2 linked regions of the Caenorhabditis elegans genome follow. The protein of the gene in region 2 purifies or fractionates together with the protein of the main gene of each other region. This does not show direct contact. Each region holds a gene or a part of one and is shown on either strand. Other genes may lie near its edges.

Region 1 (6,055 bases), on a different chromosome or scaffold from region 2:
CATGCCGAAGAGAATAAGAAATCTGAATTCTGGTTGCCAGTTCCAAAAAAATTTTCAGGCGAAAAGCAATGTATGGACAAGAACCAAAAATTATTAGGATACTGCAACGAAATCTTCGAATCATTCAAAAATAACAGACAAACAGCGTACAGTTTGACATTCTCCTCCAATTTCTTTGAGAACTTTGAAGATTACACGTTCCATAAAATTGCTCAAACGTTTCGAGTCGAGGATCCAGATCGAATTTGCGTGAACTTTGAAAGCAGACCACTATCGATGGAGCGTTCCGAAAATTGTTCGGCGAAACCGAGAAAATTGAGCGACTGATGGGAGTGGTGAAAGAAGCGTTTGTTGCAAACGACAGTATCATTAGCTCGGTGAATAAATGGAAATCGATCGAATTTCATTGCCCTGTTGAATCACACGTCACTGAGAAACTTTTTCAAAAATGGACCGAAGGATCGAAGTTGGAAATTATTGAAATTCAAGAAGTGGCTCCAAGAAGCATGGAAGCGAGAAATTTGATTCACAACATTTGAATGTACACAAATCATAGTTTCCTATAACTACCATATAAAAGTTTGAAAAAATATCGCAAGAAAAAACCACAAACTTATTTCTCACCCTAATAGTTTCAAATACTCTTCCTGTGTTTCCATACTGTTTTTTCTGTCTAACTATATAACAATTTTCAGATTATCCTTATCGATGGCTTCTCAGAATTCCAAGATAGCTGTCAGACAGTTTACACATCTTTATAAACTTAACTTGATAATATTTGTGTCAAAACGAATATTTGTTGCAGTATGTGAGGAACCAGGTTTTCCTCATCTTTCTTTTGCTCCTGAATTGAAGAAGGATATTGAATCACTAAGGAAAATTTGGAATCTACCGGAAAGCGTTGCCACCCAAAAATGCTTCACAAGCTCGGCTCTTGTTTTTACATATAACAAGGAAACTATGGATGAGCGAATTGTGGGATTGGTGAAATTATTGAAAGATGTATTCAAATCCGAAAATGTGATTGTGGAAATAGACAAAGAAAAACTATTGATGATGTTCGTAACATTACAAACCTCTTGACCACAGCAATGGGTTCCAGGATAAATTCAATGATGGTGGCGAGAGAATTAGTGAATGAAGTCGGCCATATGATCACTGAAGATGAGGTCGGCAGATTGGGAACTGTGAGGAAATGGGCCCCCAGTCCCCCAGAATATGATGAGTTCTATATTGGGTTTGATGATTGGGAAACTGCTTGTACTCATTGTTATTAAACTCGTGCTCCTCTACAAATTTCATTCAAAATTTTGTTGTAATGGGCGAGCCTGAATTATCTTGAAAAACTTACATTTTGCATCTATTTTTCAAGCTGTTCCTATTACAAACTCTATTGTTCAAAGTTTTTTTTTAATTTTCCGGAACTTGTGTAGTATACCTGCCAAAGAAAGTCAATCATTTTGAAAATATAACGTGCCTTTTTTTGTCTATATTAGGCTTAGAATTAGTGTTTTTTAAACCTAAAAATGCATATTAATTTCACTTTTCGATTACCGTATGTTCTCTATTAGTATTGCACCCAAAGAAATTAGTCTTGCAGTCTCTAATAGTATTGCACTGAAAAGGTATCCGGAAATTAGTATCGCATGCAATACTATTAGAAAATATGCCGGAAAAAATTCTCGGCAAATTGTGGTTTCGCACTTTTTTTTTGGAAATTTCAGAGTTTCAATTTCAAATGACAAAATTGTACGCATCGTATAAATGTTCCTACATCTATTTTTAAAAGTAAGCTCTATGAAAATATGTAGAAAAAACAGAAAAAATTCATCCGTCTGTTAAAAAATCCCTTTAAAAATTTCCGGCAAATCGGCCAAAGGGAAAATTGCCGGAATTTAAAATTTCAGGTTTTTACCTAAATTAACTAATGTAAGTACCAATTTCCCTCCCAAGTCCAGAACTAAGCTCCCATCATCATTTTTATTTACTCCACTCTCACTTAAATTTTTTTCAAAAACTTGTATTTATTGCCTTCTTCTGTTATTCCTTACCTCGCTCATCACATAATGATTTCATTGTTTTACTTTCTATCCACTCCCACTGCAAAAATTGAAACCTTTTTCACTTTTTTGCTCGCATTTCCTTATTAAAATTAATAAAAATTTTTAAATTAAGCCCTGAACGCACACTTTATTTATAAAATCAAGGCAAAATCAAGTTCAGTTCTAATTCGATGTGGTTGTATTGGTGGTAGAAGTGCTGGCGTGTCACTTTCCAGAACGAGCGGCTTTGGCCGATTCGATTGGGTTGATTCTCTGAAAATTTTCAATTAGCTGTTCCCCAGCCGGGAATATCTCACCGAGTAGATGTATGTTGCTTCCGGTTCCTGTGTATCAAACTGGACCTTCTTGTCGGAATACTCATCATCCACTTTTCCATCACTCAGCGCTCGAGCACTCTCATGGACAAGCAACAGACTCCGAATCGTGTTGGAGAACACCAGCCCGGTCTCAAAGTGAACTTCATCTCTCTTCTTCAACTCCACCAACGGTTGTAGCTCGTTGAGCACCAGTTTCGTGGGGGGAATGCTTTTGAGACTGAGCTTCTTGTTTCGGTACATCTCCAAATGATCGGTACTCACAGTGATCGCCTCGTCGGTCTCTTTCTGAAATTTTTTAAAATTATTTTTCCTGAGACCTACACAAAAAGATAACTCACCATGTCATCGTCAGTTGGTTCTATTTTTACTGCCCAGGTGGGGACGTCCTGACCCTTGTACACATCTTGCTCTGGTTCCTTCTTAATGTCCTCCAATTTTCGAACGTGATCATAAGAATCCTCAACGGGAAGTAAAGACGTCTTCAGTTTCTTCTTTGAAGTGTTGGTACGGTAGAAAGTGGATGGCTCGTCGCACAACATCATACCATCGGGCTTATTCTTCAATCGATATGGTTTTTTCGGCACTCGATCCATCAGAAGCTTGCTTTTCGCATCGATTGGTTTCGGTTTCGCCGCCGACTTCTTCTTTTCCCTCAACTTCTTATAGACTCGCTCCGTCGTCTTATCATCCACCTCGTGATTCGTGACCTCGATGTTTTTCGGTTCGTTGAGCCGTGTCGTTCCGGGAACTGAAACAGGAAATTGTGGAGGTGTTAGGGTTTTGGATTTTCAGGTAGGTACAAAGATGCCTGCCTACCTACCTACTAAGGTAGGTAGGCATTTTAGTGTCTACCTAAAGGCAGAAGATGAACAGGCAAGCACAATTTTTTTGTTGGAATTTTTTTTATACGTCATTAAATAATTTTGCTTCCACGTGGACGTCGTGGATTTCAATGTTTCAAATTGATTTTTTTTTTTCGAATAAAAAATGTTTCAAGAGTTTCCAGAGGCTTTAAAAATTTTTCATAAGCTTTCAAAAATGTCTAGATGCTCCCAGAAGCTTCTGAAAATTTTTGGAATTTTTCAAAGTCATCAGACGTTCCAAAAACTTTCCAGAATCTTCCAGAAATTTTCCAAAGGTTTCTAAAACTTCCGAACCGTTTAAAAAACTTTCCTGAGCCCTTTAAAAGTTTCCAAAAAAATTTCAAAAAAAAAACACTAGAACTCACTGCGATTTGCATTAGGAATCTCATGATCTTTTACAGCTTCCGGTGCTTTTTCCTTGTAATTCACCGTTCTTGAATCATTTTTCCTTGCTATCAACATCTTTTCCGACTCTTTCGATTTATCCACCGACAAAGATCCACTAGTTGACTTAGTTTTTGTCTTCTTATTTTTACCATGTTGCTTCGACTTTTGAAGTTGTTGCTTTTTATGACTGCGTGCCTTAGATTTCTTTTTCTGAAATTTAATTAGTTCTGGAAGACGCCTGGAAATTGAAAATTTCGAAAATCACAACTTACTTTTTCGTTAATATTTTTAACTTTTCTTCTCGAGCTTTTTTTGGACAATTTCTTCATGATGGGAGAAGATGCAACGCGAAAGTTTCGAAATACAAAAATAATGAAAAAATTCAGAGTGGGGGTAGGGGATGTGATAAGAATCTTCTCGTATTTTTGAAGTTCACGTTTTTTTTAAATTGAACTTTTGGTGCAGTTTTTTGGAGTAATTTATTTTATTTAAATTAAAAAAAAACATTTTCTTAACCTTTCCAATGTACATAAGCACAAATGTGCCACTTGCCTGCAAGGCGACCTATGCCTTCAGGCGAGAAATATGCGGTAGAGAGGTAGAAAAAACGTATTCTGGTTTTGAAGATATATATTAATTTAATATTGCATAACTTTTTTCGGTTTCGCACGAAAATTTCTACACGCCTTTGAAACGGCCTACGCCTGCCTTTTGCCTACAGTAGATAGGCCCATAGGCAGGCAGGAAAGCCCAACTAGTTAAAATGTTATTTTTTAATTTTCAAGTTCACGAAAAATGTTAGTCTGCAGGCCACTAGAACCACCTACACCTGCCTCGTTCTACACACATTCCTAAAATAGGCGGTAGGCAGGCATAAAATTTCAACATTGCAGGAAAACATGCCATTGTTGTAGTTTCTCTTGAAATTTTCGCGCCGATACAAAAATGATAGCTGCCTACTAGGCGACCTGCGCCTGCCTCGTGCCTAAAATAGGCAGTAGGCAGGCACGTAGGCACTTTGTCCAGAAAAAAGGTTTTATTCACATTTTTTGGTGCATTTTCAAGAAAAATTTCTATATTTGAACTTTTCCTCTCCAAAAAGTTATAGTTTCCAAAAAACTTGTAGTCTCCATACCTGATAAGTCGTTCAAAAATCAGTGAGCATTCCCAACGTGTCATCGCCATGTGCTTCTCCCGCTCCAAATTTCTTATCTTTATTACTGGAAACCTCGGCTTCTCCCCCTCCGCCGCTGCTCCCGTTTAACATCAGAAACGATACGGCTCCGATGCTCCTAGGTCTTCTCGTCCTTTCTCTCGCATTTCAGGGTAGAGTTTTAGATTTACATTTTTGTGTTTAAATTCCAGGAAAAAATTTTCCAGGCACCCTCGCGGTGACAGAATGCGAGGAATGCAAGTCAATTGTGGACCTTTTGCAATTTGAGTGGGGAGAAAAGAAGACTGAAGAATGTGTTATGGAAATTGCGGTTTTTATTTGTGAAACGTTCCATATTGAAGATAATGATGTCTGTAACTTTATTATTTCGGATTTCTCAGTGAGACACATTAATATTTAATTTAATTTTAAAAATGTATTGAAAATCAAAGATTTCAGGACGAATTCATGTATGTCATCAAGCAAATTCTCGTGACTCCACATCAACTTTGCGGATTGCTTATGAAAAATGGTAAGTACTACCATGCCTAGGCACAAACATGCCTACCTACATGCCTACTACCAGACCGACGCGTAACAGTGACCCGCCGCCCTAATAGAACATGGGGTGCGGGGCGGCTTGAGAAGATTCTAGTAGACTGCCAAGCTGATCACTATCTTTCAGGCTAGTCACGCATGTAGGCGCGTAGGTAGGCACGATTGCATGCCTATTTGGAATTATTTCAGACTGCGGAGACTTCGTGGATCCATTGGCGACAATTTGGAACATGACGATTCCTGGAAATCAGCCACCATTCGTGCCGAAACAAGTTGTTCCGGTAGGTTTTTTTTTTGACAAAAAAGGTATGCCTACCTATGCCTGCCTACTACTGTCTACTGCCAAATTTTCCGAATGCCACTAGATAAGTGGTAGGTTTGCACGTAGGCATAAACAGGCGCCTACCCCGACACCAACAAAACCTCCAATTTTCAGCCAGGCAACCCAACTCTGCGAGCACTTCACTTGACCGACCTTCATGTTGACATGTTCTACACGGTCGGGCTCGAGGCAGACTGTGGAACTCCGCAATGTTGTCGACCACAAGATATGAATGTGGTATGGTGTTTAATTTGGAAAATTGTTGAGAAAGAGGGAGAAAGAGCAACGATCACAAAGGTTGCTGAAAAATATTTATTTGATAAGGAAGTTGAGATGGGAAGGAGAAGCCCCCGAAGTTGGGGGGTTTCTATTTGAAATTTTTGAATGAAGAA
Region 2 (7,438 bases):
GTTTGAAAATTTTACGATTCACTTGTTTCAATCTGCTTCGAACATTTTTTGAGGTCTCAGCCATATTGACTCTGAAAATGTACGACTCATTAAACAGTTTTAGCTCATTATTTTGTATAAAAATTACTTCAGAATCACACGGGGTGACCCAAAATGTATAGACTTACGCTTCATTAATAGCCATTAGATTGATTACATTTTTGAATGCAAGGTGCGGTAGTTTTGTTATTTGAAAAGGCTTTTTCTGTAAGAAATCGCAGTTTTCATGACCAATAAAAACAGAAAAACTTACGACGAGAAGTTTGAATATTATTGTTATTGCCACAGCTATTACAAGGCCGATTGTTATTAGTAAAACCAACAAATATTTGAACATTTTGAGACTTATTTGAAATAAATATCGACCCAGACAATATTATAATGAATGATTTATACAGAGAAAAAGAGCACTCAGATGTCTTCTGCGTCGTAGGTAGGAAGAGGAGAGGTCAACAGATGCGCTATACGATACAATGAAAGGAGGAGTACACCTCGTGTCAGACCTAAAAAAGAGACACATAAAATTTGAACATTTATAATTCCAATAATATCTCACAAAACTCACAGAATTAATAAAAAATATGCCAGAAAATTATTTATTTTGAAAAAAAACTGAAAATTTGACTGAAAATTCAGAACATTTGACAAAGTCTACGTCAAGTTTCATTCTTTGATGATTCACGAGGCTACAATAGGGAAATTCGGTAAAACCAATTAACATGCCCACCGGCCGGAGGGACACTCACAAAAAGGCGCTAAGTACTTTCCGGTTATCATACCAAATCACTATCATCTTATCATTCAATGGAGGTGACTACGTGAGCATAACACAAAATACAACGCGCGGTGAGATATTGGAAGGGATTTATGGATTATCAAATTGAGAAAATTAGTAAAATATTAATTTTGAAATGAAAATCCACGTGGTGCCAAGATGTACCATCCCGGTTTCACCTACAAAAAATGCGGGAATTTTTCGCAAAAAAAAATGTGACGTCCGCGTGATCTCTGCGTTTCAACTTCCGCATTTTTTGTAGATCTACGTAGATCATACCGAAATAAGAAAAAATTTGAAAATTCCAGTTTTGATAATTCATATATTGCAAAACTTACTCGAAATTTGATTATCATCACCACAATTATTACAAAAACGGCAATTAGTAAAAGCAACAAATATTCCAACGTTTTCGGAATTGGTGCATTCGATAAGTTTTCTAAAAAAAAGTATGGGCTGCAGCAGCTGGGGGAGACATCTTATGAGATCAAGAAAAAGGTGCATAACAGGGGTGGGCGGCAAACGATTTTTTCCGGCAAATCGGCAAATTACCGGAATTGAAACTTCCGGCAAATCGGCAAACCGGCAATTTGCCGATTTGCCGAATTTGCCGGAAAAACGGCAATTGCCGAAAATTGTGGGCAAATTACTGGAAAAAAGAAACACTTAATTTTTTTTCTGAATTTTCAAAAACTATTCTTGTCAACGAAAATTATACAACTTAAGTTCTTATGAAACTTACTTGATGCAACTTATCAGATTTTGGTTTTGATGATGAATATGATTTATACATTAATTTCACCATTTTTCATTATTCAAATCATCAATTAGTGTGAGATATTTATTACGTTACCTTAAAAAACAACGAAATTATTCAAAAAACACAAAATTGAAACGGGAACATTTTAAAATTGTTTTCAGTAGTAAGTTGTCGTGGTGAGACCTATGCTTCAAAACAGTGGCCCTACCTTTGATTATTTCCGACAAGTCTGATGCCCGGCAAACAGCAAATCGGCAATTTACCGAAAATTAAAATTTGCCGAATTTGTCGACAAATCAATTTGCCATCTGCCCGTGACGTCTCTCTCTAACCAGTGCTCTGTTTCTCTTATTGTGTTACTGTGTCGATCAATATTCTTTTTTGTTTTTTTTTTGCCTTTTCAAAATGCTCCTCGACTTTCTGATACTCTTAATCACTTACGACGAGAAGTTTGAATATTATTGGTATTGCCACAGCTATTACAAGGCCGATTGTTATTAGTAAAACCAACAAATATTTGAACATTTTGAGATTTACTTGAAATAAATATCGACCCAGACAGTACTATAATGATGTATACAGAGAAAAAGAGCACTCAGATGTCTTCTGCGTAGGTAGGAAGAGGAGAGGTCAACAGATGCGCTATACGATACAATGAAAGGAGGAGTACACCTCATGTCAGACCTAAAAAAGAGACACATAAAATTTGAACATTTATAATTCCAATAATATCTCACAAAACTCACAGAATTAATAAAAAATATGCCAGAAAATTATTTATTTGTAAAAAAACTGAAAATTTGACTGAAAATTCAGAACATTTGACAAAGTCTACGAAACAAAACAAAAATTACTGAAATTTTTGAGTAAATTAATTTTGCAAAAAATTACAAAACGAAACAAATTTCGTTTGGCCAAATGTTACCTTAAATTGTGAATTTCCGGCAAAATTTATTTTCAGCTCAGCCCTGTTGCATAACACCCCCCCCCCCCCCCCCCCCTGACCAACAGTTATTTACATCTGTTGACCTCTCATAGTCAGGATCTTATTGAGCCTTCCCGGTGGGGAGACCCCATCTGCCCGTGACGTCTCTCTCTAACCAGTGCTCTGTTTCTCTTATTGTGTTACTGTGTCGATCAATATTCTTTTTTGTTTTTTTTTGCCTTTTCAAAATGCTCCTCGACTTTCTGACACTCTTAATCATCGCCGTCATTTCAATATTTGCGGTCATAAAAATAAAATTTAAAGTGAGTTAATCCCTTATCATGTACAGAAAAAATTTTTAAAAAACTTTTACAAAAAAAACCATTCCGACTAACAAAACTTCAGCGTGTTGCATTCAGAACTGTAATAAATTCAATGAATATTAATGAAGTGTAAGTTACCTTTTTCTGGGCGGGGTCTAGCACACCACAAATTAAGATAATCGAAAAAACTAGGCCCAATATTTAAATTCCAGTCTGCGCACTAAATTTGAAATTGATTTTTTTCTAATTTTTAGTCTTGAAATTTACCGTATTTCCTCTGTTAGTCTTGCAACCCTACGGACCTTTTCTCATCGTTGTGGTGAATTTTTTTCTGGAATTTATACAAAAATATAGAGAAATATTCGTACTTCTTGCAGACAACTTCAATTTTGTTGCAGACAACTTCAATAAAATATTTGAAAAGTTGCTCAAAAAACGCATTAAATTTGAAAAATGGCCTGTGAAAGTGCCGATCGGCACATTTAGACTGTGGCACAGTTTTTGTAAAGTTATTTTCAAAAAGTACAAGTATTTTTCTATATTTTCATATACAGTTTCAAGAAAAAAGTTCGACACAACGATGAGAAACAGAGGATTTTGCAAATGTTGATTCCGTAAAAAAATAAAAACCAAGTGCCTCTGCTGCTACGGACCGATTAAAATTAGTTTAAAAAATGCAAGGAGAAACAATAATTATCATTAAATTTCTTGAACAGTGAAACACAAAGTTAGAAAATTTTCAGAATCGATTTGGCTAGGACATCTACTCGTTTCCGACGGAGTTTGAAACAAGTAAATCGAAAAATTTTCAACGTAATCATTGAATGCTATGATGAGTATTCTTCCGAATTGGGAAACTATTTCTGGTATCGAAGGATAACAGTTTTGGAAACAGAGAGAGATATGCAATTTGCTTATCACTTTATGATGAATCAAGAACAAGGAATCAACTGGGCAACTCATCAGAACGTCCATTATTTTATTAATCTGTTTTGGTAGGATTTTTTTTTGACTCAAAAAAACGGCAAAATTTTTAATTTTAACGATATTCTTTCCGCCTTTTTTAACAATAGCCCATTGACAATATACTACTTACTTTTTGAAAAACAAAAGTTTTCCAGCACGTACCACAAGGATGTGAACAAGTCGCCATGCTTGTCCTATGAAACTTCACAAGAGTTAATCAATCTTTTGGGCATTTTAAATGATTCATTTAAAATCGACCATGTTGAATTGGCAATGGAACGTGATGAAATCTTTGGGGAATTCAAATCCGCACTGAGTCATCCATTATTTCGGAAATGCCATTTTGTTAAAGTTCTCGGCGAGCTATCGTTCGTTGACACAGAAGACGTGGAATTCATATTGAAGAATTTCGATTTGAAATTTGGATTTTCAAATTGTAGTTTTCAACTAGTCGGGTTCAACAAAAAACTCATAAAACTGGTAAGTTTAAAATGTATGTAGCACATATTTCAGTACTTAATGATGTAGTTTAAAAAAACGGGAAATTCTGAAAATGTTTTATCAGCATTTCAAGCTACTTACCGAGTCTGTGTTTGCAAAAAAACTTTGTAAGAAATGCTTGCTTACTTTCCTATTTTTCCTTTGGTAAAAGTGATAGTTTAAGTTCCTATTCTGCAAGTTTTTCTTATGACACGATTAAAAAATCGTATTGCAATAAATAACATTATGTATCAGTAATTTCCTAAAATACACTACTCTTTTTTTAAGTTTTACAATATTCCACGGTTGGACTTACGAAGATGCCCAAAATTAACATTAGACGATTTGAAACTGATGAATTGCGAAACGATTCGATTCGATTATTTTGGTGGATTCTCGGGAATACAACTAAACTGGCACATTCAATACTGGTTTGCCGGAAATATGTCAAAACTACGAAGATTTCAATTAAACTACTGGCCTTATGAGTGGACTGATGACTTATGTGATGGTTTGCCACACTCCGAGTGGAATCCAAAACGTCGAGCAAGATATTTCTAGTGAGTTTGATAATAAGCTCATGCCTAATAAGTTATGGTTCTGAACTAAACCCAAACTTATTTCAGTGATGATCTGGAAGTCGTTGATTGTTTAAAAGGACGCGATATCGAAAGAAGTGACGGTCTACTTGCAACTATTTTAGTCGAATATGATACCATGTACTTTCTCATATGGCATGATAGATTCCCGATGGATCAACAAACATTGTTTCGCTTTACGGATAATTAATATTTACATGCTTTTTGAATTTTTGCAATATAAATTACCATTTTCTTGAATCGTTTTGTTAATTTATTTAAACCTGTGAGCTAACACGAGCATGTTATCGATCATCTAATATACTTTTTTTGGAGCAAAAATGATTTTCTTGAACATGCTACATTGCTTTGGATTTTTTCAAAATCTCATATTTTTCAAAATTTTGACAATTTGCCAAAACTTTGATCGTAAATTATCAAAAATCTAAACATTTTTGGAGTCTTTTATTATGGTATTTGGTCGTTTTGGATCATTGTAAGTGTATTTTGACAATGTTCCAACTGGCGCTACTCCACCTTTAAAGTCATTTGATAGAAGATAAGGTTTCAATAAAATATGTAAATTTTGTTTTTATTTAAGAGATTCTGAATCTTGGATTTTAATTTATATTTACCCAATTTTATGCCTTTAAAATTAAAGCTAGATTTTTTGATTCACTTTCTTATTATCCGAAGCTTCTGGCACCTACTAACGTTTGATATTAATTTTTAAAGAAGTTGGATTTATTCTTTAAAATTATAGTTCTTTGTGGAAAAAAAAGTATTCATTTCTTAAAAGAAATATTGTTGAAAACTGATAATAAAATAAGCACTAGATATTTCAGAAGCTGTTGAGTTTTTAACACTTTTCAAAAAAATCTCAATTTTTAAACAATAAAAATAAAGTAAATAATCAAAAATACAATAGTGACAATAGGAAAAGCAACACGAGAGATCACATCAATTCCATTATTATCTCTAAATGAGGCGCACCCCTCGTTATAGGCGACCTCCACGGTCTCCTTGGCTGCTCCCATTGGGTGGTCTTCCTGTGGTCCGAGGGTCTTGTAACGGATGGAACGGCGTCCTCCACAGCAGATGACAAGGAAATATTCAACAAATGAGAAGAAGGTGAGCACAAGGCAGAAGGCTAGCCAGGCACCTTGAGCTTGAGTGTAGGAGTCTTCTCTCATGAAGATCTGGAATAAATGTTTTAGAAAGTATTTGAATTTTTAATTTGAAACTTTGAAATTCTTATTTTAAGAGCTTTAAAATAAGTCCCATGTCGACCTATTATGGACAACTTTTATGATTCTGGCTTGCGGTGCGGTCGCGTCGCGGTTTTTCGTGATATGTTTTAAAATTTTTGTGGCTAGAAACGCTAGAAATTTGATAAACATATATTCAAAGTGTTCTAATCGGCTTTCACAATTGTTTAAAAAAATTTCGAAATTTCGAAATTTTCTAAAATTTTATTAAACACTATGAAATTTTTGTAAATTGCATCAAAGATCAGATTATTGACATTGAGTGCTTTAAAATAATCCCAATATTGGCTTAATTCAACCAACTTTGAAATGTATTTCTCGCGGTGCGGTCGCGGCGCGGTCGCGTTGCGGTTTTTCATATTTTTTTAAGGGAAAATTTTGAAAATGAACGTTTTATGCTCATAGTTATGAAACTTTTTGAGCCGCGGCGCGAACGCTACGCAGCTCAAAAGCTACCGAATCATTCAAAATTGAACTAATCTAGTCAGAATGGGTGTTATATTTAAGCTCTTGAAGTCAAAAGTTCGATTTTTTAGTTCGATAGTTGAAGTAAATTTCGGTGGACTTTTGATAAAAACTCGTTTTTTTTTATTTTAAAATCTAAATAAAATAATTTTGAAGTTGAACTTTTGTTTCAAATTCAGATTGCTGACGTTATAAGCTTCAAAATAAGCCCCATAATGGCTATAATTGGATTCTTTTGAAATTTGTGTAAAAAACGCGACGCGACCGCGACGCATCTATGTTTTTATGATTTTTCGTAACTGTTGCATTTTGTGCTGAAACTCGAAAAACTTACGTAGTACGCAGCCAAGATGAAAAATGGAACAGCAGCAGAAATAGTTCTCGGGACCGACCAACTTCCATGAATCCAAAAATGAAGCCAAGACCCAATCAGAAGGAATAAGCTGGGCAAAAACCATGACATGAGCCCGGAAATCGTACTGGCAGAGAAATATACATGTGCATCAATACAGGAATAGACGCCAACTGTATAGTTACCGACACAGTCTCCTGCACTGGCTTCTTCGAATGTCAGATCTCCTTTCAAAAGATCCTGAGACACTTCAATGGGGTTAACTAGAGGTGGGGAGTTGGCCCAGAGGTACACAATATCGTCAATGTCGTAGTTGTCTGGAAATAGGAGATTGAGTTCAAAATCGGAAGAAACTAGTGAATTTTTCACGCCAGATCGTAGACTTAGCGCAAAACTAGAATAAAATCTCGATTTTTTGTTGGAAATTTTTTGAAATTCGGTAATTTATCGTGAAATCTGGGGTTTTGGGTTACTGTAGTTGCTTGTTGTATACGTACTTAACCTCAG

Evidence for each region.
Region 1: the proteins of T27A1.2 (region 2) and W03G1.2 fractionate together in Caenorhabditis elegans (co-fractionation; one large-scale study listed by BioGRID). This does not show direct contact.

Annotation. Positions count from the first base shown.
Region 1 is NC_003282.8:522,601-528,655, reverse strand, and holds W03G1.2 (Ribosomal RNA-processing protein 8), read right to left. Parts: upstream 4,005-6,055; 5' UTR 3,960-4,004; coding exon 3,903-3,959; intron 3,841-3,902; coding exon 3,609-3,840; intron 3,129-3,608; coding exon 2,719-3,128; intron 2,666-2,718; coding exon 2,360-2,665; intron 2,316-2,359; coding exon 2,268-2,315; 3' UTR 2,165-2,267; downstream 1-2,164. Other genes in the region: Putative sphingomyelin phosphodiesterase asm-3, read left to right, coding at 4,917-4,956, 5,011-5,183, 5,243-5,315, 5,531-5,622, 5,778-5,900.
Region 2 is NC_003280.10:528,516-535,953, reverse strand, and holds T27A1.2 (F-box associated domain-containing protein), read left to right. Parts: upstream 1-2,934; coding exon 2,935-2,951; intron 2,952-3,565; coding exon 3,566-3,817; intron 3,818-3,943; coding exon 3,944-4,268; intron 4,269-4,556; coding exon 4,557-4,828; intron 4,829-4,894; coding exon 4,895-5,057; downstream 5,058-7,438. Other genes in the region: T27A1.3 (F-box domain-containing protein), read right to left, coding at 1-71, 168-244, 293-376; lgc-34 (Neurotransmitter-gated ion-channel ligand-binding domain-containing protein), read right to left, coding at 5,734-6,045, 6,914-7,248.